Linked DNA regions of Xenopus tropicalis. The protein of the gene in region 1 interacts with the protein of each later gene in a pairwise test. Links are inferred from orthologs where the notes say so. Each region holds a gene or a part of one and is shown in the gene's direction. Other genes may lie near its edges. The genes, in order: tex11, hyi, mapkbp1, ppp1r18, efhc1, tsc22d4 and ing3.

The links.
Region 2: the proteins of tex11 (region 1) and hyi interact in binary tests that used the Homo sapiens proteins (3 or more experiments, as listed by UniProt). The two-hybrid records come from large-scale screens. The link is inferred for Xenopus tropicalis from reciprocal best matches to the Homo sapiens genes TEX11 and HYI.
Region 3: the proteins of tex11 (region 1) and mapkbp1 interact in binary tests that used the Homo sapiens proteins (3 or more experiments, as listed by UniProt). The two-hybrid records come from large-scale screens. The link is inferred for Xenopus tropicalis from reciprocal best matches to the Homo sapiens genes TEX11 and MAPKBP1.
Region 4: the proteins of tex11 (region 1) and ppp1r18 interact in binary tests that used the Homo sapiens proteins (3 or more experiments, as listed by UniProt). The two-hybrid records come from large-scale screens. The link is inferred for Xenopus tropicalis from reciprocal best matches to the Homo sapiens genes TEX11 and PPP1R18.
Region 5: the proteins of tex11 (region 1) and efhc1 interact in binary tests that used the Homo sapiens proteins (3 or more experiments, as listed by UniProt). The two-hybrid records come from large-scale screens. The link is inferred for Xenopus tropicalis from reciprocal best matches to the Homo sapiens genes TEX11 and EFHC1.
Region 6: the proteins of tex11 (region 1) and tsc22d4 interact in a two-hybrid assay, tested with the Homo sapiens proteins (2 studies listed by BioGRID and IntAct). The two-hybrid records come from large-scale screens. The link is inferred for Xenopus tropicalis from reciprocal best matches to the Homo sapiens genes TEX11 and TSC22D4.
Region 7: the proteins of tex11 (region 1) and ing3 interact in a two-hybrid assay, tested with the Homo sapiens proteins (2 studies listed by BioGRID). The two-hybrid records come from large-scale screens. The link is inferred for Xenopus tropicalis from reciprocal best matches to the Homo sapiens genes TEX11 and ING3.

What each region holds. Positions count from the first base shown.
Region 1 is NC_030684.2:44,770,251-44,774,463, forward strand, and holds the start of tex11 (testis-expressed protein 11), read left to right. Parts: upstream 1-1,413; 5' UTR 1,414-1,468; intron 1,469-3,429; 5' UTR 3,430-3,445; coding exon 3,446-3,485; intron 3,486-4,213. UniProt on the Homo sapiens protein: Regulator of crossing-over during meiosis. Involved in initiation and/or maintenance of chromosome synapsis and formation of crossovers.
Region 2 is NC_030680.2:88,658,968-88,663,077, reverse strand, and holds the start of hyi (putative hydroxypyruvate isomerase), read left to right. Parts: upstream 1-1,310; 5' UTR 1,311-1,319; coding exon 1,320-1,509; intron 1,510-2,465; coding exon 2,466-2,577; intron 2,578-3,299; coding exon 3,300-3,414; intron 3,415-3,496; coding exon 3,497-3,575; intron 3,576-4,110. UniProt on the Homo sapiens protein: Catalyzes the reversible isomerization between hydroxypyruvate and 2-hydroxy-3-oxopropanoate (also termed tartronate semialdehyde).
Region 3 is NC_030684.2:105,038,432-105,041,931, reverse strand, and holds part of mapkbp1 (mitogen-activated protein kinase-binding protein 1), read left to right. Parts: intron 1-346; coding exon 347-469; intron 470-1,464; coding exon 1,465-1,559; intron 1,560-1,663; coding exon 1,664-1,731; intron 1,732-1,992; coding exon 1,993-2,211; intron 2,212-3,500. UniProt on the Homo sapiens protein: Negative regulator of NOD2 function. It down-regulates NOD2-induced processes such as activation of NF-kappa-B signaling, IL8 secretion and antibacterial response. Involved in JNK signaling pathway.
Region 4 is NC_030684.2:75,522,123-75,526,377, reverse strand, and holds the start of ppp1r18 (phostensin), read left to right. Parts: upstream 1-1,455; 5' UTR 1,456-3,147; intron 3,148-3,189; exon of another isoform or gene 3,190-3,311; intron 3,312-3,833; exon of another isoform or gene 3,834-3,882; intron 3,883-4,255.
Region 5 is NC_030681.2:150,471,709-150,475,208, forward strand, and holds part of efhc1 (EF-hand domain-containing protein 1), read left to right. Parts: intron 1-36; coding exon 37-324; intron 325-574; coding exon 575-724; intron 725-904; coding exon 905-1,097; intron 1,098-1,592; coding exon 1,593-1,822; intron 1,823-3,500. UniProt on the Homo sapiens protein: Microtubule inner protein (MIP) part of the dynein-decorated doublet microtubules (DMTs) in cilia axoneme, which is required for motile cilia beating.
Region 6 is NC_030679.2:151,477,036-151,481,319, forward strand, and holds the start of tsc22d4 (TSC22 domain family protein 4), read left to right. Parts: upstream 1-1,484; 5' UTR 1,485-1,578; intron 1,579-1,603; exon of another isoform or gene 1,604-1,840; intron 1,841-2,007; exon of another isoform or gene 2,008-2,115; intron 2,116-2,198; exon of another isoform or gene 2,199-2,445; intron 2,446-4,284.
Region 7 is NC_030679.2:69,340,354-69,344,399, forward strand, and holds the start of ing3 (inhibitor of growth protein 3), read left to right. Parts: upstream 1-1,246; 5' UTR 1,247-1,314; coding exon 1,315-1,342; intron 1,343-1,459; coding exon 1,460-1,531; intron 1,532-1,582; exon of another isoform or gene 1,583-2,630; intron 2,631-2,740; coding exon 2,741-2,841; intron 2,842-4,015; coding exon 4,016-4,046. UniProt on the Homo sapiens protein: Component of the NuA4 histone acetyltransferase (HAT) complex which is involved in transcriptional activation of select genes principally by acetylation of nucleosomal histones H4 and H2A.

The sequences.
Region 1 (4,213 bases):
CGCCGATGGGATGGTATACGCTTGCTGCAATATCCCGAAGTTTCCTCTCAAGACAACTTCAGGCGACTTCGGGACATTGCAGCGACGCGTATGCCATTCCACTGGCGATTTACATTCTAGCCGGTGGGATGGCATTGCAGGGAGATTTGTTGCAATCTCTATGTGTGCCAATGACCAATGTGAAGACACATGGAGCTACTAGTAGCAGCTACTTGTTGTGGCTACTAAAATAGACAATGCTAATCATTTACTGATAATTGTCTTTATGTGTGTTTTAGCGGAAGCAGTTCTAAATATTGTCTATGGCAAGGTCATTTCTGGAGTTAAGTAAACATGAAAGTAGCTGCTACTAGTAGCTCACTGTGTTTTCACCCTTAGGGCTCTGGCACACGGGGAGATTAGTCGCCCGCAACAAAACTCCCTGTTCGCGGGCGACTAATCTCCCCGGATTGCCATCCCACCGGCGAAAATGTAAATCGCTGGTGGGATGGCATACGCGGTGGCGTGATTTCAGTATGCCACGTATGCCATCCCACCGGCGACTTACATTTTCGCTGGTGGGATGGCATTTCGGGGAGATTAGTTGCCCGAGACACGGGAGATTTGTCGCAGGCGACTAATCTCCCCGTGTGCCAGAGCCCTAAAGGATAGCAACAACGTCCTTGACAATCATACTTGACACCATTCTACTACTCATAATAGTGCTAAATAAAATGGTGCACATGGATGGCAGTCCCATAGAAAGAACTTTGTTACACTGTCACTGCGCAGCATTATATTGTACAGCTTAATCATTCTCTAAACAAACCCAGAATTGAGGCTCAAAATGAAGTTGCCAGACTATATTGGAGGCAATGTAAGTGCAAAGCATGCTGAAATAAATGTAGCCCTAGCCCCTATATATAGGGACCTGTGTATATGGACTCATGTAATCCTGTTCTTACTAACATAGTTCAGACTCCATGATTTCAATTTGAAATAGAAATATTAGACAGTTGACAGAGGAGACATTATCCCTATTGACATATATTACATATTGACAAATAGAAAGACAAGGTCGCAGTGAAGGTCACAGTGAAATTTTTTTTAATCTGTTCATGCCATTGCTTTGTTTTGCTGTTCTGTGATACTATAAAGCAGACATGAAGATTTTCCAGATGTCACTCCCTTCACAGTGAACATGCTCAGTCTACTCCTTGCCTACATAAATATTATCCCTCATAGTAAGAAATATGCTTTTGTCTTTCTTTATTTGAGCATTTCTGTAGGAAAAAAAAAGCTTAAATTAAGTAAGGCTTCAATCTTGCTGTAATGGGCCCAGCCTGCTGGGCTATTCACTCTGAGTAACCCTGTTTTACTGTGTGGTTCTGTGGCTGGGACTTAGCTCCGCCCCTTCCTTAATAAGCAGCTGTGAGGAGAATCAGAGCAGGGAATCCCCTCAGATATAGAGAGCAGGGAATCCCCTCAGGTATAGAGAGCAGGTTCTCTTCCTGTTTGTGTAGATATGTGAGAATCTGTCAGTCCGTATGGATGGTGTATAACTTGTGAATGCAAATGTGTGTGTTTGTGCATGTGTGTGACAGTTTTATAATATCTGTGCCTGTGTGTGAGAGGTAGTGTTGCCACCTGCCCGCCTGGCAAAACATACAAACATAGGGAGACTGGTAATTGTTTTCCAGAATGTGGCAATTCTAGTGTGAGAGGATTATACAAACAAAATATTTTATGCATATATGTGTGAGAGGGAGAATATACATGCCGTTGTGAATTTATATAAGGGTTTGTGTATTATAAGATATAATAGCAGACAGGGCCTTTCAAGCTCAGTCATGAGGTGTAGAGAGATGAAACACTGGAATTGCCCCCCCAGCGAATTGCAGAAAATAACCCAACCCCATGTCATGAGGGAGATAATAAGCAATTTCAGGCCTTTTTGAGACCTTATTTCATGTTATCATTAAGCGTGAAGGCCTAAAAACACCGGGACTGGATTATTATCTCCCTCATGAGATAGCGCTGCATTTTGCCATGCCTATTACCCTTAAACCGGCCATACACACACCGATAATATCGTACAAACCTCGTTTTCACTTCACGAAAATATCCGCCCTATGCCTCGTCTGCCATCAGCCTAATGCACAAGTGAAAATGCATTGATTCAGCCTGATTTAATGAATTATATGGGGCATTACCATGTGGTGACGAAAGGTTTTACTTTTATGGCTTTAGCTTGTTGTACCTACAGATGCAACCAGGACCAGATTTGTGGAGAGGCAACAAAGGCCCGGGCCTAGGGAGGCAGAAATTTAGGGGCAGCATGCCACCCCGCCGCAACAAAATTTTTTAATTTTGCACCCATAGGGAGAAATGGGGACCTTTCCCCACTGCTCCGTATTGGAGTTGAACTATTTGCGCATGCGCAATCGCTGCCGGGGGGGGGGGTGTGGAGTTCGCACATGCGCGCTCGGGGAGGAGAGGGGGGGCGGCCTAGGGGCACACGGAACACAAATCCGGCGCTGGATGCAACTGATTTGCAACTGGTGAAGTAAATGGTTGTTGGGAGGGTAATGATTTATCCCTGTCAATACCACAGTGGAATAAACTGGAGATCCACACAGCACTTATAGATGAAGTCAGGAACCATTTATTTAAAGCCACATTCACAGAATCTTTACAACTTTATTCACATACAGGGTCGGAAAAATCCCGGTGGGCCCCGACGGCCCAGACCCGACTCTTGCAGCGCTCCACCTACCCGACCACTCCTCCCCTGACGTGTTAAATTTACGCTCTCGGGGTAGGACGTCGGGTGGGGGGCCCTGCGAGGGGGGTTGGGGGGCCTGCCCCCCCGGTGGGCCCTTCACCCCCCTTACATCCCCCATACATTCATACACCCTTAGTTGTTATAACAGATCAGTGAGTAAGATATCACAGCAGACAGATGTTTCAAGTGTGTCAACAGACATCCTGCTGCCCTGAAGATATCTAGCATAAATGGACAAAAATAAAGATTTAGGGCAGCTTAACCTCCCTAAAAAGTAAAAAACATATTTACATGTGACTTATTCAGTATAACTCCCAACATTTAAATTTCCAAATGCAGACCAAATTAGTCCCACACCTGGCTCATCCTAGCCACACTCAGCTACACCCAACACTCCCAAATCTTCCTTTAACCCATTATTTGTTGAAAAACCCCTTCCCTTTTTCAGGCCTCTAGACCGTCTGTCAAACAACTGTGACTCTGGGAGATATGGGCAGTGCCTCAGTTAATACCTTCAGCATACCTGAAAACTAGGGACCTTAAACTGTAAACTCCACTGGGGCACAGATTAATGTGACTAATGTATAACCCCTGTAATGTTTCTCTGTGCGCATAATAATGTACTCCTGGGCTCTATAATCTGCTAAATGAATTTCTTTCTCTAGAGGTTTTGGTTGATTGATGAAAATGGAGGATGGGTCGTCTTTGAAAAGAATAACAGGTAACATTCATGTATAAAAATGGTCCCATTGCTTGACATTTATTGCTTTTTTTAAAATGAAATAAAATATACTTGTAAACACTGACAAATAAGCACACATTCTTCCCTTATGGCAGCCCACCTTTGGCCTGTAATACATTTTTAATCCTAAGCAAAATGCAGAGTACAACAGTGCTCTGGATGCAAGAGATGTGTAAATTAATATGATTTTGTACTACTTGGTGCTCTTGCATCTGCATACCCCCCAACATTTGAAAAATTAAAAGAGGGACAAAAAGATTTGGCGTGCAGCGCAGCAAATTTTTGACCACGCCTACTTTTGTGGCCACGCCCCAACTACCACCGCAAGTGTGCTATACCCTCATACTGTACTACTTAAGGAAAGCAATATAGCAACTACATATAAAATACAAATATAGAGAGAAGGCAGTCAGTTGAGAGTTATAAGTGAGTTATAACTATCTACCAGTTTTGCCTCCCCATACACAGTGCCCCCAAAGGCCCAATAGATAGTACCCCCCATGCACAGTGCCCCCAATTGCCCCCATACACAGTGCCCCCAACTGCCCCCATAGACAGTACCCCCATACACAGTGCCCCAATTGCCCCCATAGACAGTACCCCCCATACACAGTGCCCCAAATTGCCCCCATAGACAGTACCCCCCATTCACAGTGCCCCCATAGACAGTACCCCTAATACACAGTGCCCCCGAGTGCCCCCATAGA
Region 2 (4,110 bases), on another chromosome or scaffold:
AAATGGAATCTCCACGTCCCATAATACCGGCAACTGTGGAGGCCGCAGGGCGCCCCGTACCTGTAGAGCGAGTTGCACACTGTCAGTGTTATTTAGAGCAGAACAGGTGGGGCAGCAGAAATGCCAAGCTGGCAGCCTTGCTAAAGAGCGGCCAAACACTTCCCATGGCTGGTTACACTTCTGTTTGCCCCCTAAAAAGTTACTCAGTAACAGGCGAGTGTTTCATTAATCACAACGGTGCCCATTCCTGCGAAGTTAAAGGAACTGTAACACAATTTTTTAACATTCAAAATATCCCTTCTATACACTTTGATTATCAAATATATCATACAGAAATTTCAATAGCAGCAGTGTTTTTTTTAGAAATCTTACTTTAGCATTGATTTATAGAGAACAGGCTGCCGTTTACTCCCAAGTCTTGCACCACGCTTCCGTTCAACTCCCCCCTCCACCCCCCTTCCTCTCCTAATGCAGGCACACACAGCGCTACTTCAAACAGCGATGCAGACTTAGCTGGACAGAAGGAACGGTATGTCTTTGATCCCTCTCCTCTCCCTCTCCATGCCCCAACTGCTAACAGCCCATAAATCACTCACAACAGACTCTGAAGAATGCGGCATTTAACTTCCGGATTAAACCGGAAGTCGCCCTTTCAAGCTCTGCACAGTAAAGTACTGGTAATGTGATTTATTTTAAAACCCTGTAGAATATTGCATTTTTTTTAAACGCTACATATATTAATAAAATATTTAGAATGGATATGTATGTATGTATATCTTTATTTATAAAGCACTACTAATGTACGCAGCGCTGTACAGTAGAATACATTAATACAAACAGGGGGTTATAGATAATGGATAAATACAAAGTACAACAATAAATACAATAAATACAAGGTACAGTTGCAATAAGAGTCAGAAACACAAGATGAAGGAGGTCCCTGCCCCGTAGAGCTTACAATCTATATGGGAGGGTAACTAACAGACACAAATGGGCAAATGTAAGTGCTATAGGTCACAGTGGGTGACATTACAATATAAGTGCCAGTTCCCAGATCAAGTGCTGGGTGAGTGCTCCAAAAGGTAGTCTTTAAGTTTAGTTTTAAAAAGACTGATATGTTTAAAGTTATTTTTTTGTGTTACTGTTCCTTTAACAGGCCGTGTCCGGAAAAGACTCAGACTTCCATTACCCCTGTGCCTGCACACCCCGCCTGCCTCCTGCTCCCGATCTAGCACGGTGGGCGTATCCTCGGCCTCTCTTTGCCTGTAATACCGCCTTGCTTTCGGGCTGCAATATAGCGAAGTTTCCCGGTGAATACCATGCATTTTTCGGCCAATATTTCTTGGCTGTTTCAGGACGTGCCTGATTTTCCGGGCCGTATTGAGGCTGCGTCTCAGAGCGGCTTCCGAGCGGTTGAGGTGGCCTGGCCCTACGCTTCCGATAGGACTCTTTTTAAGGCGGCACTAAACAATCACAACACTAGTCTGGTCCTACTCAACACCCCACCAGGTACAATTGGCTTTAATCATATTGTACTGAATAGCTTTAGATCACCTAGCCCCTGGGTTGGAAGGCGCCTTCGCGTTGTACTGTGTCCCGAATATTCTAATTTAGATGCACTTCTGTAGTAACTGGCCAAGAAACTATCTGCGAGTTGTATTGTTATTTTTATTACTTTTCTCTCAGTTCAGACATTTCCTATTCATATTCCAGCCTGGTTGCTAAGATAAATTGTCCCCTAGCAACCAATTAGGTGCTGGAATTACAAACTGGAGAGTGGCTAAACAAAAAGATAAATAAAAAACCACAAGTAATAAAAAATGAAGACCAACTGAAAATTCTCATAAGTTCACTACATTGTACTAAAAGGTAAAGCTAACATATACTGCAGCACTGGGGTGTATGCAAGGTCTATGCATCAAACAAATTAGATACAAATATTAATCAATAGGAGAGGAAAAGAATGTCCTTGCTCAATAGACCTTACAATCTAAAGGTCCTGTCAAAATATGACTATATATGAATAATTTATGCAGTGCCGGACCAAGTCCCCAAGGCAAGTGCCCAACTGTGCCCCAGGTGACAAGTGTGGGGGGGGGGGGTAGTGGCCTTCCTCACCTCCTCTAATTACTTTTCATTAAAGTAATGCTAATTACTTTAATTTCTGCATTCCTGTTCTAGCACCATCTTCTAATTATTAGTCACAGATCTGCTTTCTTTTAATGCAGACATCCATACACGTTAATGATATGTTCACCAATGAAATATGATTTTATTTTGGTAACACAGACTTTTCACATAGACTTTCACATGTAACATAAGTTCATTCGGAAGCTACACACAGTACCAGCAATGCTTGTACACATGATCTTATAATAAGTGCTTTGACAGCAACTGTCACGTGAGTCCTGCAAATGGACATGTATCTGTCAGACAACTGGACTGAATATATTCTCTGTGTGCAGGTAACATAGAAGCTGGTGAACTTGGCCTTGCTGCTGTGCCTGGCAGGCAAGATGAATTCCGAACAGGTCTCAATGAAGCTGTCAGGTGGGCCAGTGATTTAGGATGTGACAGGTACATGCTAATGCTTATTAAATACCATACTGTAGATTACATATCTATTGAAGAGTACAGAGAAATATATTCCTGTATTTGCCCCTCTCTGTTGTCACAGAGTTGCAAATTCAAGAAAATATTTTAAACTGATTGTATAGACTGTATAATCTCTTTTAGAGAACGCTCTATCTATCTATTCAGGTCACATACCTACAGTAAATTCATCTATTTCAGTTATCCCTTGTTAATGTACTCCCAAAATGTAATATTAGAAATCACATTGGAATTCAAATACCTATACAAATGATTGGCCATGGGTTGATTATAACACTTAGGTGTCATAGGATTTATTCTTGATGCATTTAACACAGAGTGCAGCATAACACAGTGGGGAACTCATTTATGAATACTGGGCAAATTTGCACCTGGGCAGCATTTGCTTTCATTGTACTTTCTCCAGCTGGCTAAAAAATAAAATACTACTAATAGCTGTAGGTTGCTGCACAAGTAAGAACAATTTACAGTAAGACCATCACAAAATGGTGGCTCAATGCAAAAGATGTAAAAGGGCAATATTTACTTAATAGTAATATGGTGAGATAGTATAATCGGCCGCTTTTTATGATACATTATCTGTTGGTTAAGTATTTATTCTGAAAGCATAGCTTCGATTTATATTATAGTTTTGCGTATGCCAGAGTGGATGTCTTATAAAATTAACTCTCTTTGTTATGTTTTAGAATTCATATCATGGCAGGACGAGTGCCACTTGGTTTGGAACGACAAAATATTGAGGAAGAGATGGAGGAGACATTTATTGAAAACCTCCAGTATGCAGCAGACATCCTTGCACAGGTGTGTGAGTTTTGGATATATATTTTATAGTATATAAAGCGAGTAAAATATGTTTATAACTTCAAATAAAATATTCACACAGGCTGGAATGGTGGGACTTCTGGAACCTATAAACTCCCTAATCAGTGAACCTCGCTATTTCCTGAACACACCTCAACATGGTAAGTCGGTAAAGCAAAAGAATCAGTTGGGCCAAGTTTTTCTTACAATAGTAGTGTCTACCTCGCTGAAATATCCTTACATTTTGTCATGGAAATATTTGCCTAGACAGCAATAGAATAAACTCATCATAGAACATTGCATTCTTCCTTCCAAGTTGTGGGGGCAGATTTGCAAAAACTAACAAACTTGTTTCCATGAATGTCTTATATTAACTAAGAAATCTGCAATAAAAAAGTCCACGTGGGAAAAATCACGAAAATTTTTTAGACTTAACTTATGAAAACTGCAACATTTAACAAAAAAAATCTGAGTCATTCTCCATTTACTTATACACTGCATAAGAGAATCCCATATAGGAAATAAGAGTAGTACTGTGCAAGACTTTATCAATAATATTGCTCATCATAGAACCTTTATGACTTGGGTTCTTTAAATGAAAACTATACCCCCAGAATGAATACTTAACCAACAGATGGTTTATATTATGTTAAGTGGCCTTAACATAAGGGAATACATACTGTATATCAGTAAATA
Region 3 (3,500 bases), about 60 Mb from region 1:
GGTAAACTTAGTTCTTTTTATTACATATATGTGCTAGTGTTTTATGTAACCCGCTGAGGTAACTACAGATTTCATTTTTCTACAGAAAATATTTTTTTTTCTTGGCTTCAACCACATTTGGCTGTCGCTAACAGATGTCACCTATACAGATCCGCTGATTTTAGCACAAATTAGCAATTTGCAGTTTTAAAACCATTGCAAAACAGCATGGTTGAGTTCTTTGCAGCAAGAAAAGATGTTGTTTTAAGGAAGCACACTTATAAAGTATGACAAAAACATTATGAGAAAAAAATAATAAAACCCCCTCTGTCACACCCCATCTAACCAGCATGCATTATTCTTGCAGCTGCATTTTCATTTGGAGACTGAGCTCAGAGATGACCATTAATATGCGCCAGAGGTTAGCAGAAGTCAGGCAGCGTGGGAAGCAAGTGGAGATGTCTGCACCACACAAAACGCCAAATGCAAGGTAAATGCAATGCTGGTTTATTCAGCTCACCAATTTCTTAGCACTTTGAACTTGACTGCATTGACTGCATGATTTCAGAGTGTCTCTCAGTAGTCACCGTGGCCAGCACTGCACCTCTTTCATATACTTATTGGAAGCATAGTGATACCTTGTGGTACAGCACATCATTTGTAGCTTTCTGATGACCTGCAGTGATGTCATGAGGCATCTTCACCCATGCCTATTCCAGCAATGGACCATGATGTTGGATTTAGCCAGATCATAAGTGAAGCTAACTACCCGTTATGTACAAGTCAGGAAGAACTCAACCCGCACCCAACCCTGACCTGCACCAAGGCCGTACCTGAGTTCTTGCTCTGTACACTACTTCTCAAGTTCTTTGGGGGCAGATAGAGAGCATACTTTCCCTCTCTGGCCCACACCCAACACAAACCCACAATGGTCACCCAGTTTTTTAACCTGAACCCACTAAATCTGTCCAACCAACATATCACTACTAACTACATCAGCTAGGGGCAGATTGGGTGATCTGGTTGGTGGTGTGTACCTTAGCCTAAGGTTTGTGTCATACATGGGCAATCCTTGCTCCAAAATGTCTGCCTCAAAGCAGCATGTTGGAAACATGTTGGATTATGAATATCAGTGTGTGGATGTGGTTTTATGTTTTATTTACTAGGGATGTATCAAATCCAGGATTCGGAATCCTTAAAATCATGTGCCTTTTTGTCACATAAACACAGAAATTTTTCACCACTCACTGCACATGCGGTTTTTTCATTCATCATTGCCCTAATTTGCATATGCTAATTAGCATTTGGATTAGGCTCAGACTAATATTTTATGAAGGATTCCGGTTTGGCCTAATCCCAAAATAGTGGATTCATTGCATCCTTATTAATTACATTGATAGTGACTTTCCAGGCAGTTGCATCAAGTTTACATGAAGCATAACATTCACTTTTAATTCAGCACTTTTTTTTTTTTTTTTTTTACAGGCGAGAGACCATTGCTGTTATGTCTACAGCCCCTGCAATGTCATCAGACAGTGATAAAGAAGGGGTGGAAGATGGCAGTGATGAGGACATGGCAGGCAAGGACCTTCCCTAATGCCGATTTTCATTTAATTATTTCATTTTCTCTCAATATAACACTTATGGTTTAAATAATGCTTTTATTGTATCATTTGCTGTGTAGGGTCTGATAAGACTTCCAGTGCCTCCAGTTCTTTTGGAAGAAGCCTTTCTTACTGGGAAATGAAAAGGGTAAGTGTAGTAATGTCTCTACAGACTCATCCTATGCCTACAGCTTCTTTGGATGTAGACTCGACAGGCATGTTGCTGGTGTTTTATAGGCTACATAAGGATTTCTATATCTTACTTTTCTTTCTCACCCTGGCTGCTTTAGTTCTTCTATTTGGTTACTTGTTTTATACAAGTTCAATCTCTTACATTCATTGTCACTGTTACAAATGTATATTTGCTCTTATGTCCAATTTTTTTTTTTTTTTTAATCGTCTACTTAAGGGCACAAACGCATCTTCGGAAAGATCAGACTGCCTGAGTAAGATGCCCAGACAACGTGTTCGTTGGTCCCAACCTGCTGGTAACATTGAGATGACTGTTAAGTCCATGCTTGACTTGAGACAACTGGATTCCTTTGCCCCAAGTGATGACGTAATTGGATTCCAGCCTAGCGAGGGGCTTGGAATGGAGTTTGTGGATACAGATAATCCAAGGAGCCAGGTGTGACATAGCAGATGAGAATATATATGGATCTAATACTTGACGTATCAAAGTACATGCTGCTATTTATGTATATGCCTTGTGGTGTTCTGATGTTCTAACTGCCATTCATTTCCTTTCAAGAGATCATGATTAAATACAAAATAGTTAAGTTGTTGAGCTGTCAAAACTCCTGCTCCACACGGTGCACTCCTCTCTTCTAGGTGGTAATTTCCCCCCCTTGCTGTGCCTGGCCAGTTCAGGTACCTAGTGTGTATGAGTAGTTGGAAAGCCAATTAATGTGTGAAATGACTGTAGGCTTAGCAGCATGGCAGGAACTCAAAGTGCTTTAGGCCGAAGTTCAGAGTTTGTTTATATGCCATTAATTCTTAAAGGAGAACTAAACCCTAGAAATGCCATATTTTATATACTGAGCTTAATGCACCAGCCTTAAGGTCCAGCATCTCTATAACAGTAATGATCTTGGTTTTCAAAATTGTCACAGGAGCTCCCCATCTTGCTGACAGTAGTTACCTAAGCTTAGGGACGGACTAAAAATATACAGCTTATATATAATAAAATATTCACTATACAAGGCTGATAAGTAATTACATAGCAGCTCCAAAAGCCGCACAATTAGCATCAGAATTTAATAATCAACCCTGTAGTATCAGATTATATGACAGGCAAACCTTGTTTTCTGCTTGATTTGCGACGGCGTCATCCTCCTGTGAGGAAAGTGACCCCCTGTGACAACTCTGAAGACCTGGATCATTGCGGCTATAGAGATGCTGAACCTTTATGCTGGTGCATTGAATTCAGTATATATAATATGGCATTTGTAGTCATATTCATTTTTAAGGTTAAGTTCTCCTTTAAGGTATTTCAGAATGTTTTGTTTTTTTTGTATTTTTGAATGTTATAAGAAACTTAATATACTGTAAAAGTTTCCATAGTTCCCATTTGAATAGAATTAAAAGCAAAATCTACATTATCACTAGGTGTAGGTGCTCTTCTCTCAGCAACTCCAGTTGCATTTTCTTGAGTGCTAATTAATTTTGGTACATAATGAGCGTTATCCTGTTCAATGAGTAAAGAGTGCTGTGGGGTGGAAACCGCGTTCATAATCATTTGAGTTTTATTATTATATGAACCCTGTAAATATAATTATAGCCCGCTACAAAAGGCTTATATTTTAGTTGTACACCAGTATTTAATTGTTGGCTGCATTTCAAGCACAAATTTTAGAGGCACAACACATCATTGCCATAGTATACCCACAAATGGATTGTTCCAATGCAATAAATCAT
Region 4 (4,255 bases), about 31 Mb from region 1:
GCAGTTGAAGGCTGGTAATGCACATAACTGGCAAAGTAATGCCCACAAAATTGATTGGCAAAGTGGTGTCCAAGATCAAGTTGCACTGACCCACCGAATTAATTGGCAAAGTAATGTCCAACTTGGCACTTATTCATTGAGTGCTGTAAAGTCGAGCATCAAATGTCCTACATACAAGGACACTGCTACCGTCGGGCAAGGTGAGAATCTTGACTCGGGTGGCAGTTGCCCTGCACCAGGGCTGGCAAAAAAAATTTGCTCCTGGTATCTTTAAGAGCTGAAATTCTGGTTATTAAAGGAATACTGTCATGATTTTTATGGTGTACTTTTTATTTCTAAATTACACTGTTTACATAGCGCATAATCCACTCTTACCAGTTAAAATTTTATTCTTGAACCAACAAATGTTTTGGGGTTTTTTTTTATTGTAATATTGATGTGTAGGCAGCCATCTCAGTGCATTGTGCCGGAGTCTGAGCTTTTAGAAGGAGCCAGTGCTACACATTAGAACTGCTTTCAGGTAACCTATTGTTTCTTTTACTCCCATGTAACTGGAGGAGTCTCAAGCTGGACTTGGATTTCTTACTATTGAGTGTTATTCTGATATCTACTGGGAGCTGCTATCTTGCTACCTTCCCATTGTTCTGATGATCAGCTGCTGGGAGTGGGATGATATCACTCCAAGTTGCAGCTCAGCTGTAAAGTGTGACCGAAGTTTATCAGTGCACAGGTCACATGGCTGTAGCACCCTGGGAAATTAAGAATATGGCTAGCCCCATGTGAAATTTTAAAATTAAATATAAAAAAAAAAATCCTGTATTTTTAAAAAATGGATTACAATGCAGGATTCAGCTGGAGAAGTTTCATTAACATGCATTTTGAAAAAAAAAAACATGGTTCCTCATGACAGCATTTCTTTAAACTACAAATTTGGCTTAATTCTAGTATAGAGTGCGGTTGTGCCAGTTGGACAGCACTGATGTACACAATGCCTATTGATCTGGTTAAGGGAAGAGTACTGCAGCTAATAGCAATGACCATAGCTTTATCTATATCTATACACAGGAATGTTAACTGGCTCCTTTATAAAACTGATCATAGTGTGTGTGAATGTGATAGGGACCCTAGATTGTAAGCTTCAAAAGGGGCAGGGCCTGATGCAAAAGTATATAATATAGTATGTAATCTCTGTAAAGTACAAGTATGGGACCTGTTATACAGAATGCTCGTAGTTTTCCAGATAAGAGATCTTTCCACAATTTAGATTTCCATACCTTAAATCGACTAAAAAAGGTACTTGTATTGATTGTATTGTGTCCAATAAGAATTAATTATATCTTAGTTGGGATGAAGTACAAGGTACTGTTTTATTACTACAGAGAAAAAGGAAATCATTTAAAAAAAAAATAGAATTATTTTCTTATAATGGAGTCTATGGGTGGTGGGCTTCCTGTATTTCAGAACTTTCAAAATAAAAAGATTTCCAAATATCGCATTCCATAAATGTACTGCAAAATAGGTCAGCGCTATATAACTACAGGATAAAAATACTTGGAGTAAGAAGTATGTTCAGATTGTGATGGATTATATTTTCCCTAAATAGGATTGCTAAAAACCTTGTAGCATGGCGCACAAGCCCAAATGCATTATGCTGAATGATCAGGTTATACACAAAATAAATGCCAATGGCTAAGGCTATGATCACATGTAGCTGTTTTTTGGGCTGCATACTGGGTCAGACTGGGTTGTGCAGGGCCCATTAGTTTGCCGCCCCAGGGGCCTCAGCAGTGGCCTCCACACCCCCTCCAGGGGCACCACAGACCAACTCCATCCCTCCCAAGTGTGCTTACATTATACCTCAACACGATCAGGGAAAGGAGATCATGTCTGGGTCGTGGAAGCCCACAGAGTTAGTCCAACTCTGGCTGCATATAAATGCAGATGCAAGTAGCAGCTCAACCACTCAAATCAGCCTGGTCTGGTATCTGTGCTAATAAGCACTGCTTCAGCCTGTGTACAGTCACAGAGCAGATTTCAGTGTGAAAATGCATATTGACACTTTTCTGTGCTGAAATTCACTTTGTGTGCAGGTGAGTGGTTCATCTGTTTCTTGGCCTGCATTTATACACAGACCAAAAACCAGCTTTGTGTAACTGTTGCCTATGGTTCAGTTTCTTATACTTTGTGTGGCTTTCTAGTGTTCAGTCTGTAAATTCACCCTAACCACGCATAACTGAAGCACTCTGCATTAAGTTTTACATATGTATTGTATTGTGTTGTGTCCGTCCATATAAATAGTATAAAATATAATACATGAGGTAGCTCTTATTTCATGCACAATTTGCCTTAGTAGTATGTTATTAAACTCAAAACAAACATCCAAAAAGCTAAAACTTCTTACTGTTTAGGATATTTATGTTAAAGCATAAATAATCTGTCATGTGCTGTTGCTTAGTATTTTTTTCCATTAGTCCCATCCTGTCCCCCACTGTTGTGTGTACGTTGTACTGATTTAGTATCTTGAGTATAAAAAATACAGAATGTCTGTGTGTGTCTTGTAGTGGATATTTAAGAGCAGTCTTTGCTTTTTTTCACAATAGGGCATTAAAATGATTTTTTAAAAACTAAAAATCCCAGCATTTTCTTAAAACAAAGCCCATTTGCCTTACCGATGTCAATAGAAAAAAGTACAGTGCTATGTAAGGGTTAACTTGTCTGTAGTATCTCCCCCCACCATCCTTCCTCTCTCCACCCTCCCCCTTTACTCTTAGCATTATGCATAGCTGGAACCTCACCCTCCACCCCCCTCTCTCCTTCTGTCTGATTCAATCCCTTCTTCCTACACACCCTTCTCTTTCACTCTCTGGGAATTCCTCTCCAATGCAAAGGTTGCCCAAGCTATAAGTCCCTAGTCTTTACATTGTACATCTGTATTTGCTTTAAGGGTCTGAAGGAATTGGGCTCACTTGAAGACGTGTGACGCTTTGGGACTTTCCACAGAGAAACGCTACATATTCTTATGTTTTTGGGTTTAAGTTTAACAAAGGAAACTGCTCCAGACATCAGTTCACTTCTCCTAACATCAAGGCATCCTGCTGGGCTATAGGATGTATTAGAGGGGATTGTGCCTGCTTACTCACAATAAAGGTATGTAACATATCTGACTATATCCTGTGGGTTTCTGCATGTCATTTCATATGTGCATACAAGTACAATGAGATCACTTTTGCGCACTCTCACTTCATATCTTCCACCAACTTGTCCTCTATTCTATTTCTTTGGTGCCACTATAAAGTGTGATTCCCACTCTAGTAAGTATTTTTTGAGAGAAGAACATACTCTGATTTACCTTTTGTTTAAATCCTCACCAATCGCTACAACACAGGTTATGCAGTATATTTTCATACTTTAGTGTTATTTGTGCGATAATATACAGTCTCCTACATACATACATAGACAAACAAATATATAGACTTAACATCCTTCTCACTGTTTAAATCTATTTTACTCGGTGCATAGAAAGTACTGCTGTGTATGCAGCTGCCTATTTTTTTGCTTTTGTCTTTACCTTCCATGAATCTCCTAAACCTTAGCGATGTACATCTCCTCCGTTTTCTGTAGAACTGTCAGTGCATCTCCCTCTTTCCTGTTTGCCCACTCATCTCTTGCAGGCATGTCTGAATTATTTGTATCTAGTTCTCCTATTTTGCTTTTTCTCCCTTTTCAGAATGTATGTTTTACATTTCTTTGTCTGGTTCAGCAGTATGGCTATCTGTCAGTCTAGACAATTCCATCCTCCTCATTTTAATTTGGTTGCTCCAATTGTTCCACAGATCTGTATCTGAAGAGTTTCCCAACTTGAAGACCAGACAATTATAATCTGTAAGATTTTGTTTGTACCATGAGAAAAACAGATGTATAAAGGTTGATACTAAACAGTTTTAAATTTTAATTCAAAATTGTAATGCCTTATACTGAAAATACTTTCAGAACCTTAGTTACATTATCTAGACCCTTATTTTGTATAAAACATTGCAGAATTGTTTTGTCCATACATTTAATTAAGCCCTCTAACAGTGTATTTCAGCCTTTTCTTACCCCCATGCTTATTTCTCTTTTTATTCTGCGTATCCTCTTTCTCTTCCTCTTTCTCTTCCTCTCTAATGAACTCTACACATGCTTCTTTATATGTCATTTGACTTTTTAAGTGTAACTTTCTTTTTTAGCTGTATGAAATTATTTTCCTGTCATTACT
Region 5 (3,500 bases), on another chromosome or scaffold:
TTGCCAGTAAGTGATTCATTCTCCATAATCTTTCAGGTGCTCAGGTTTGAGGGTTACTTCCAAGAGACTGTCCCCCTGTCCCCGGAGGAGCACTACCGAGTGCGCAGAGTCACGCTGTATTACTATCTGGAAGATGACACTATATCAGTGATAGAGCCACCTATGGAAAATTCCGGCATCCCCCAAGGAACATTTATCAAGCGCCAAAGACACCCCAAGAATGCAAACGGGGATCCCTATCACTGGAAGGATCTAAATGTGGGGATCAACGTCACTTTGTACGGCCGAACCTTCCGCCTTATCAGCTGTGACAGTTTCACACAGGTACCTTTGTTCCATTGGCCATAAAGAGAGTTGGGGGGAGTCTGGCCATTGCAGGAAGCCTTGGACCCCAATATGAAAGGGAAAAATTGTCCCCCAGTTTCCTAACAACAGCTGAATAGATAGGAAACAGTTTACTTTGCATAAAGGCAAATCAAATTATCACCTGACGCGCTTCACGCGCCCTACAACCTGTAGGAACCATATTGCTAATGTTTTTGATTAACAAGAATCTCTTGCTTGGCGTGGGCAGGAATTCCTGGAGAGCGAGGGCATCGAGCTGAACCCCCCAGAGGGCATCCCTACAGACCCATTTACTGAACTGAGGAGGAGGCCCAATCGCACATTCGTCACCCCATCCGACTTCGATAAGCTCAAGCAGTACCTCACTATGGACCGTAAGGTGAGTCCGAGGGCGTCAATAATCTAGGTCACTCTGGTCTTGAACCTGTAGCCTCGCTTGTGTGCCCACCTAAAGACCAAGGGAACAGCACCCCTAGTGGTCATATATACACAATGCGATATAAGTATGGACCTTCTAACCCAATAAAACCAGAATAAAACTCCTTGACTCCCTCTGCAGGTTCTGCGCTTCTTTGCTGTGTGGGACGACACGGAGAGCATGTTTGGAGAGAAGCACCCGGTGCTCATTCACTACTACCTGTCTGACGACACAGTGGAAATCAGGGAAGTGCATGAGCGAAACGATGGACGCGACCCATTCCCAGTGTTGATGAAACGCCAACACTTACCTAAAGTGGTGAATGATACAAAAGGTAAGACTACCTACTGGGGTAGGGAACTGCAAGGTATGGGGTTGGGAACCTCATTTCTGGGAACCCAAGGAGAAGCTCTGGGTCCCAATATGCTTCCACCACCACCCTTAGATTAATTTGGCTTAGAACACATATCTCAAGGAAGCTCTAGAAAGCTAGCTAAGGAATGGTGGGTTATTTCAGACCTATAGTGTGAGGTTGTTGTATATGCTGGTTGGCCATACTCTTCCACTGGAGACCCAAGAGATGGACGTGGTCCTCCAAGAGGTTTCTACATATAATTTTCTTATAATCCAACACCCAAACATGTGTTATATCAAGTAAAGTGTCCTACTTATTGAAAGTATTGATGGTGTTGGAAGGGGTGTGGAACAATTTGTTCAGATAGGGCGGGTCTAATAGCCGACTGTATATGGAAATGCTAAAAAAACAATGACTCGTTATTAGGTTATTGTTGTTTCTGTGTTTCTGACCCTCCATGTTTGCGTTGACCAGACACCTTCCCAATGTGTGTGCTGGAGATCTCAGACCAAGAGGTGAAGGAATGGTTTTCCCCTGGAGATTTCAAAGTAGGAAAGCACATTAGTATTCTAGGACGCAAGTTCTTTATCTATGACTGTGATGCCTACACTCGAGACTTCTACAGAGATAAAATGGGGATCGGAGACCTTCAGCCTGTTGAGGTTAACAAGGAGAGAGAAGATGAGGAAGAGAAGGTCATCCAGGTAGGCTGTAGGCTTCTACTGATTTACTTCTGATATTACCACCAAGTCCAGGTAGGGTGTAGGCTTCTACTGATTTACTTCTGATATTACCACCAAGTCCACGTAGGGTGTAGGCTTCTACTGATTTACTTCTGATATTACCACCAAGTCCAGGTAGGCTGTAGGCTTCTACTGATTTACTTCTGATATTACCACCAAGTCCAGGTAGGGTGTAGGCTTCTACTGATTTACTTCTGATATTACCACCAAGTCCACGTAGGGTGTAGGCTTCTACTGATTTACTTCTGATATTACCACCAAGTCCAGGTAGGCTGTAGGCTTCTACTGATTTACTTCTGATATTACCACCAAGTCCAGGTAGGGTGTAGGCTTCTACTGATTTACTTCTTATATTACCACCAAGTCCAGGTAGGGTGTAGGCTTCTACTGATTTACTTCTGATATTACCACCAAGTCCACGTAGGGTGTAGGCTTCTACTGATTTACTTCTGATATTGCCACCAAGTCCAGGTAGGGTGTAGGCTTCTACTGATTTACTTCTGATATTGCCACCAAGTCCAGGTAGGGTGTAGGCTGATGTACTTCTGATATTGCCACAAAGTCCAGGTAGGGTGTAGGCTTCTACTAATGTTCTTCTGATATTGCCACCAAGTCCAGGTAGGTTGTAGGCTTCTACAGATTTACTTCTGATATTGCCACCAAGTCCAGGTAGGGTGTAGGCTTCTACTGATTTACTTCTGATATTGCCACCAAGTCCAGGTAGGGTGTAGGCTTCTGCTGATTTACTTCTGATATTACCACCAAGTCCACGTAGGGTGTAGGCTTCTACTGATTTACTTCTGATATTACCACCAAGTCCAGGTATGATGTAGGCTTCTACTGACGTTCTTCTGATATTGCCACCAAGCTATGAGTACATTTCACAGGCGCAATCCATGCATTTTAGAACTCAAGAGGGCATGTTTGATGATGGTCGTGGGGTTTGGGGGAACATCTACAGATGGTAACAACATTTTTTAGAAGTTCAGTAGAGTGTTGTATTGCCCAAACAAGGTGAGCTCTGAGATGGAAGTGAAGTGCACTTGTGGACCAGGTTTAGGCCTACCCACGCTTGCTCTTTTAGGGATTTTTGGGATCTAAAAAAAGTTAGTAGATGTCAACGTGCTCAAGGCCCTAGAGATGTGGCTTCAAGGACAGCAAAACTGCTGATAAGACACTCATGTTACTAGCAGTTAGAGGGTCCTGCAGCGCTTTGGGATTATATATGATTTTCAAACATATATTGAAGCTCCTCATTAGTTAGTGCCCTACTTAGTAGAATCTTCTTGCTCTGTTTCCTCCCCCAAGTGAGATGGGTCTAACAAACACCTTGATTCTTGTCCTTGTTGCAGTTCTGTTCTGTACCCGGTTCCTCTTCCTCGTTCTGTTTTTCCTGGGGTTGTTTTCTCAGTTTTGCTCCGGGTTTTGGTCTTTAACTTTCCCTGTTTTGGTTGAGCTTATCAGTTATTGACCAGGCTGACCTGTTAATCTCCACCTACATCTAAACTTGATTTAGTCTTTTCCAGTTTATACGTTTAACTCCTTCATCAGCACTTATGGAACTCCATAGTATAACGGGGGGCAGTTTTGAAGGGCTCCTAGTGGAGGCAAAGGGGCATTTATAGTCTGAGGCTGGGTT
Region 6 (4,284 bases), on another chromosome or scaffold:
AGTAGGGGGTACAGGGTAAGTACAATAGGCTGGGGGGGGGGATACACAGAGTAGGGGGTATAGGGTAAGTACAATAGGCTGGGGGGGGGATACACAGAGTAGGGGTATAGGGTAAGTACAATAGGCTGGGGGGGGGGGGATACACAGAGTAGGGGTATAGGTAAGTACAATAGGCTGGGGAGGGGATACACAGAGTAGGGTATAGGGTAAGTACAATAGGCTGGGGGGGGATACACAGAGTAGGGGGTATAGGGTAAGTACAATAGGCTGGGGGGGTATACACACAGGAGTAGGATAGTAGGGGTATAGGGTAAGTACAATAGGCTGGGGGGGGGGATACACAGAGTACGGGTATAGGGTAAGTACAATAGGGGGGGGGGGATACACAGAGTAGGGAGTATAGGGTAAGTACAATAGGCTGGGGGAGGGATACACAGAGTAGGGGTATAGGGTAAGTACAATAGGCTGGGGAGGGGATACACAGAGTAGGGGAGTATAGGGTAAGTACAATAGGCTGGGAGGGGATACACAGAGTAGGGGAGTATAGGGTAAGTACAATAGGCTGGGGAGGGGATACACAGAGTAGGGGAGTATAGGGTAAGTACAATAGGCTGGGGGGGGATACACAGAGTAGGGGTATAGGGTAAGTACAATAGGCTGGGGAGGGGATACACAGAGTAGGGGAGTATAGGGTAAGTACAATAGGCTGGGGAGGGGATACACAGAGTAGGGGAGTATAGGGTAAGTACAATAGGCTGGGGAGGGGATACACAGAGTAGGGGAGTATAGGGTAAGTACAATAGGCTGGGGAGGGGATACACAGAGTAGGGGAGTATAGGGTAAGTACAATAGGCTGGGGAGGGGATACACAGAGTAGGGGAGTATAGGGTAAGTACAATAGGCTGGGGAGGGGATACACAGAGTAGGGGAGTATAGGGTAAGTACAATAGGCTGGGGAGGGGATACACAGAGTAGGGGAGTATAGGGTAAGTACAATAGGCTGGGGGGGGGATACACAGAGTAGGGGAGTATAGGGTAAGTACAATAGGCTGGGGAGGGATACACAGAGTAGGGGAGTATAGGGTAAGTACAATAGGCTGGGGAGGGGATACACAGAGTAGGGGAGTATAGGGTAAGTACAATAGGCTGGGGAGGGGATACACAGAGTAGGGGTATAGGGTAAGTACAATAGGCTGGGGGGGGGGGGATACACAGAGTAGGGGGTATAGGGTAAGTACAATAGGGGTGCAGAGAAGGTTGGGGGTGAAACTTGTACTGGGGCTGAGGGAAGTGTGAATGGGAGAGTGAGGGGAGGAGGAGGGCAGAGAGGCAGAAGGAGGAGGGCAGAGAGGCAGAAGGAGGAGGGCAGAGAGGCAGAAGGAGGAGGGCAGAGAGGCAGAAGGAGGAGGGCAGAGAGGCAGAAGGAGGAGGGCAGAGAGGCAGAAGGAGGAGGGCAGAGAGGCAGAAGGAGGAGGGCAGAGAGGCAGAAGGAGGAGGGCAGAGAGGCAGAAGGAGGCAGTGAGAGGCGACAGATACAAGAGGTTGGACTTCCTGACACAGGAGATGTCAACAGGCTGAGTAAGGAGGGAGGGAAGGAGGGAGAGACTGCGAGAGAGAGAGGGAGAGAGAGGGAGAGAGAGGGAGAGACTGCGAGAGAGAGAGGGAGAGAGAGGGAGAGACTGTTTCAGGCCACAGAACATGAACTGAGAGACTCACAAACCTGCAGCTGCATGGAGAGAAAGTTTCCTGGAGTCGTGTGAGGCATGGAGCATCCCTGAGTGTGAGAGCCATCTCCCCTGAGAGTGAGTGGGGGAGCCAGGAGGAGTCACACAGAGGGAAGGTAAGAGTGAGAGTGAGTGGGGGAGCCAGGAGGAGTCACACAGAGGGAAGGTAAGAGTGAGTGTGAGAGTGAGTGGGGGAGCCAGGGGGAGTCACACAGAGGGAAGGTAAGAGTGAGTGTGAGAGTGAGTGGGGGGAGCCAGGGGGAGTCACACAGAGGGAAGGTAAGAGTGAGTGTGAGAGTGAGTGGGGGAGCCAGGAGGGGTCACACAGAGGGAAGGTAAGAGTGAGTGTGAGAGTGAGTGGGGGAGCCAGGAGGAGTCACACAGAGGGAAGGTAAGAGTGAGAGTGAGTGGGGGAGCCAGGAGGAGTCACACAGAGGGAAGCTAAGAGTGAGTGTGAGAGTGAGTGGGGGAGCCAGGGGGAGTCACACAGAGGGAAGGTAAGAGTGAGTGTGAGAGTGAGTGGGGGAGCCAGGGGGAGTCACACAGAGGGAAGGTAAGAGTGAGTGTGAGAGTGAGTGGGGGAGCCAGGAGGGGTCACACAGAGGGAAGGTAAGAGTGAGTGTGAGAGTGAGTGGGGGAGCCAGGAGGGGTCACACAGAGGGAAGGTAAGAGTGAGTGTGAGAGTGAGTGGGGGAGCCAGGGGGAGTCACACAGAGGGAAGGTAAGAGTGAGTGTGAGAGTGAGTGGGGGAGTAAGGAGAGACTTGTACCTTACCTGAGAGACAGAGGAGTAAGAGAGAGTCGAGTGAGAAAGTGAGTGCAAGAGATGGAGCTTTACTTAGAGTGGGGCTGATTGGATTGGAACTGAGTCGGGGGCTGAGGCTGATGGGAAATATTCTTGTACTGGGGCATTTGGGATATATACAGTGTATGTGCTGGTACCTATGAGAGACCCCCCCATCATCCTGTCTGTGGGGGCCCCCTGCTCCCGTCTGACTAACTCCTACCCATAATCCACCCAAACCCCACAAACTCAGTGCTGGAATTGGGGTGAAAAAACAGAGGGATGCTGTGGAAAAATAGGCCCCACCCACTGCTGTAATAAGCCACACCCACCCATTACATTACATTACAGGGGGGGTTGTTTTGCCCTGATGTAGGAAGTGAAATTCTAAGACCATCTGCAATTGGTTTTCTTTTTTGTGGTTTTTGAGTTATTTCGCTGTTTTATTCAGCCGCTACCTGGTTGCTAGGGTCCAAATTACCCTAGCAGCCAGGCCTTGGTTTGAATGAGAGGCTGGAATTGGAATAGCGGAGGGCTTGGATACAAAGATGAACATTTGTTTTTGAGATGTCGGGGGTCAGCGACCCTCATGTAACTGCCGGACGGATTCAGAACGAGGCAAACCATTCAAAAACTATAAAGCAGAAAAAATAAAGCCCAACTGAAAAGTTGCTTAGAATTAGCTTCCAGCACATCTCACCTTTCCCCAGTTTCCCAAAGGCCCACAGGCCGCTAATAATGTGCGTTATTGGGCCCACTGGTGCCACGGTCACATGCTGTAATGTCTGCAACCTGATTGGCTGAATACTGAGCATTTCTATAAAAACGTATAACTTCCCATTGGCTAGGCGGGGGCTTACAGGGTTACCCCCACGACCCATTAGGCAAACCGCCCCTAGTTGACTGGGTGCCCCCTGCATACTCTGTGCCAAAGGTACCGTGGGGCCACCAGGAGCCGCACAAATATAACCCCCTGCTGCGCACAGTAAAGGAGAATATGAGTGCCAGGGAGCCTGAGAGCAGTGATTGGCTGTGCCAATTCCCCGGCCTTGAATTGTTTTTCAGCTTTTATCCTTTCATGTGATACCATAACACAGGCTATAACTCCCTGCACTGACTCCCCACGCTCTATTGGCCACCCTGTCACTGCCGGCCTTACAGTGCATCATGGGATGTAGTTCTTCTGTATATCCCTTAACCCACAGCAGCTCTTCCTCCCTCTTCTACCAATCACTGCTGCCTCAGTGTGAATATACAATCCTTTATGTTTATACCATATCCCTGCAGCCCCTCAGTGACTGCTAATATCCTTATCATTTACAGTAGGGGGTACAGTATCCCTTATAATACATGAGTGATACTCAGAGTTCCCTGTATAACTCAGCCTGCAGCCTTGTGCCTTTATATGGGGGGCACAGAACCCCTCAGTGACTGCTAATATCCTTATCATTTACAGTAGGGGGTACATTATCCCTATAATTACATGAGTGATACTCAGAGTTTCCCTGTATATACTCAGCCTTGCAGCCTTGTGCCTTTATATGGGGGGCACAGACCCCTCAGTGACTGCTAATATCCTTATCATTTACAGTAGGGGGTACATTATCCCTTATAATACATGAGTGATACTCAGAGTTCCCTGTATAACTCAGCCTGCAGCCTTGTGCCTTTATATGGGGGGCACAGAACCCCTCAGTGACTGCTAAATATCCTTATCATTTACAGTAGGGGGGTACATTATCCCTTATAATACATGAGTGATACTCAGAGTTCCCTG
Region 7 (4,046 bases), on another chromosome or scaffold:
TAGTAAGCCTGACTGTTTTGCTGACCTGACTGTCACTTCTCAACTTGTCTGTTATAGCTTCTTATGTTGATCAAGTGGGATCAGATAGGTAATATAAAAGCATTGGGCAAATACTCTTAAGGAAACCATTATAAATAGCATCCAAATACAATGTTATGACAGATGGTTTAAATTCTGGTGTCAGTAACTCTTTAAGATTTTCCTACTAATGCTCCAACTGATAAATAGATCACCAGGATAAGAAAATGGGGTGAAAGTTCTTAAGTGTGGTGAGTTAATAGCAGATGATTTTATTTTTATTAAGTTCTACATTTTCTATGAAAAAAATGCTGTCCTTCCTATATGCTATATATACAGGGTGTTGCTTTTTATAGAAAAATATAAAATTATTTGAATATTGGTGATTTCAAAACACTAGTTATCTTTGATCCCTAATAACACTAACAATAGGTAAATGATTAGATTTAGGCACAGGCCTCGACTAGGGTTCAAAATAGGCTATAGAATTTCAGGTACACAGAGGCCCAAACAGCCCCCCACAAGCCCACTAAATAGTGACTATCTACAGCATGTTACAGCAGCCCCTCTGGCAGTTGCCAGAATCCACACATTGCCAGTCTGGGCCTCTATGGGCCCAACCGTGTGCAAACAAAAATGAAGGGATGTCACCTGGCTGGAATTGTACCATGACATTTAGTAAAAATTACACTTGTCAATGCAAAGTCAAAGCAGCTCTAGTTTCCTGGGTTTCATTTTGACCAGGGAATTAACGTCCTGGCATTTTAGGTCTTGGTGGATGTGTTCCAAAACTTATTTTCCTCTCACACAACTAAAAATACAGGTAGGTTATTTGGCTCAAGATGAAACTAACTAAAGCAGGTATATGTGGTATTGACTATTCCACTGAGCATTGTCTACAAACAATCTTGGCTCTTTCCCTTCTTCCACCATTTTACACACCGATGAACTACCACCTAGTTTTATATTATTTTATTAAAGTATATTTAAAATAATCATCCATTCTTCAATAATAAAAACCACTCCTAATCCCACAGCCTAAAGTTTCTCTTCTTCTAAAGAACCTCGGCCAAGCAAAAACAAAAGTGAGTATAGCGCAAACTGACAAAAATACTACAATCCCCATAGTGCCCTGCGGCATTAAAAGGCGTTGACATCGGAAGTGCGAGCAGCCAGCGCATGCGCCAAGCAGCTGCTGTTCTCCTTTTCTGTTCTGCAGCTCCTGACTCGGCGCCATATTGTCTGGGAAAAATAGTCATCCGTTGCTGAGGCCTTTGCGTTCGTGAAATCGAAAATATGTTGTACCTGGAGGATTATCTGGAGAGTGAGTTTGCCTTTCGTGCTATGAACGGCGCAAAGTGCGCCACAGAGAGGGCTACGGCTTTAATCAGCAACACCCCCTATTAACCGCCCTCTCCCCCTCCCTTCTGTCTCTCTGCAGTGATCGAGCAGCTTCCCATGGATCTGCGCGACAGGTTCACGGAAATGCGCGAGATGGACTTGCAGGTGCAGAGTACGTGAGCGGCTTTCGGCTCTTTATCCGACGACTAACGGGTGTATGTGTGTGGCCTGGTGACTCCAGGCCCGGAAACATGTGGTTGTGTCGGTGGCAGAGGTAGCGCCAGCAGCTAAAGCACCATGTACATCCAGTGCAGTGCTGTGGTTGGTCGCTAGGAGGAAGTACTGAGCTGTCTCACACGTGCCCTTTTAGCACCAAAACAAATCCCAATTGCTTGCCCAGTATTGTACATCGGTGCGTCGAGCAGGCAATATTAGATACTCAGCATCTTGATTTGTAAAATAAAACGCAGTCTACAGTGTGTCTGTTTGTTTCCCACAGATTCATAGTATTCAGAAACTCGTTTTGTATCACTAGGGGTTCATCACAATAAAGTTTATATTGTTTTGTTATAATTGAAAACTCAAAATGGAGGAAACACTCTATAGCTCAGGGCTATAGCCCCCTTTGGAATTGCTAAGTTAGAGTTAATGAATTGAACATTAAAGGCATAATGACCTGAAATAAAGTGTGCCTTTGTCCTTGCACAATTTGTACTAAACCTGTTTGTTAGGTTTCATCTGCTCCATTATCTGCTGTGCCTTTCAGCAGGGATTACTGTCAAGTAAACTTTATTTTTGCTCCAGATACTGATTCCTCTTCCTTGTAAATAGGTTCATTTAACTTATATATAGCTATAAAACAAGATGTTCTACATGTCATGCATCATTATTTTGCAGCTGTGTGCAGTGTTCCCTATAGTTTGTGTAAGGTCTGCAAGCAAATACTTTATTTTATGCTCATGGGTGATGGGTTAGGGAGGGCCAGCCTTTCTCAAAAAAGAGAGAAACTGACATATAGCATATATAGCTTTAAACTGTCTCATGGAAAGCCATCTATTGGTAGCCTCAACAAACATACAAAAAACTCACTCTTTTCCCCTGTTTGTATTAGTTCTAAAACAATTGTGTCCAAGCAGGTGCTGAATTACATGCACAGTCGCTAAATCTGTTGTGTGTTTTGGTGGGGTTGTACCATCTGTGCACATAGTGTCAGTGGAATATTGACTGTATGAAGATGTGCTTGTATCAGAAATCGGCATACAACTTTTAAGGTTAATTTATAATCAACTTCCAACATACAATATTAAAATTCACAGTAAAGATAAGGTTGAAGATTTGAGGTTTGTTGCTTGAAATTTGTAATTGATTCTTTGTAATACAGATGCCATGGACCAATTAGAACAAAGGGTTGGGGAGTTTTTCATGAATGCTAAGAAAAATAAACCGGAATGGAGGGAAGAACAAATGGCTTCTATCAAAAAGGTTAGTGCAAAAAGAAAATTTGTTGTATCTGTAGCAAACTATTTATACAGAGGTATCCAACTTTGAATTTATTGACTACACAAGGAATGATTTATCTTTATTCATTCTTGACATATTTTGCACTTGAGAGATGTTGCAGAACGTTTCTGAACTTTTAATTCTCCTGCATTTATTATTCATCATTTCAATTTTTTATGCATTAAAACATCCAAGACATTTTTTGACAACTGCACAAGGTTCTGTAAGAAGTCAGACTTCGACTTCAAACTTTCGAACGTTTACAAAAAATTGTTGCTTAGAATTACATTTTCTTTACTTGGCAAAATATTATTTTTTGGCTTAGATCCCCTTCAAATGTATGCAGTTTATTTGCATATGGTGTTATTTTTTGTTATGTGTTATATTTTGACAAGTGTAATAATTAATATTTACTTGAACAAATAAGCTTATATAACTTTATATAGTGCTTGTAAATTCTGAGCTATATGTATCTTAAAGGACCAGTAACATCAAAAAGTGACAATATATTCTTATATTCATTTCAATTGTGAATTTGTTGATGAAGCACCTCCAAATAAAAATTTATTTGCAACATTATGTTTTATATGTCAGAGGTTTCAGTATATTGTTCAGTAGCGAGCCATAACTGACATCTGTCTCCTGTTTATCTTTGTACTAGTGAAGGATAACAGTACATTACGTTTAAATGCATGTATTTTTGGTGTTACTATTTTTTTGGTACATTAATTTTACAAGTAGGTATCATTGGTAGATCCTGTACAGTACAAGATGGCAGCTGCATACTCTTTACATTATTACTTTAAATTATTAAATATATTGTTTGGTATTTCATTATGCTGAATATAACATTTAAGGAGGGGAAACAGTACAAATAATTCATGCAAAAAGGTATGGCAGTTTGAGATTTGGTTGTCATATACATTTGCATATGTATTGTGTGTATTTTACCTATTTTTAAACTTCCATATATAATAAAAAGGTTGCCCATGTGCAGCCCATAAAATGTCTGCGTTTAAACAGATGATCAGTAAAAAAAAAAAAAAAACTACCTAGTGACTTATCACTGAGTGCTACTGTCCCAGGCCAAATTTAGTACCTTTTAGTACATAACACCATATGAATTTTTGACTTAGTGTGAATTATTTACTTGCAGGATTACTTCAAAGCTTTGGAAGATGCAGATG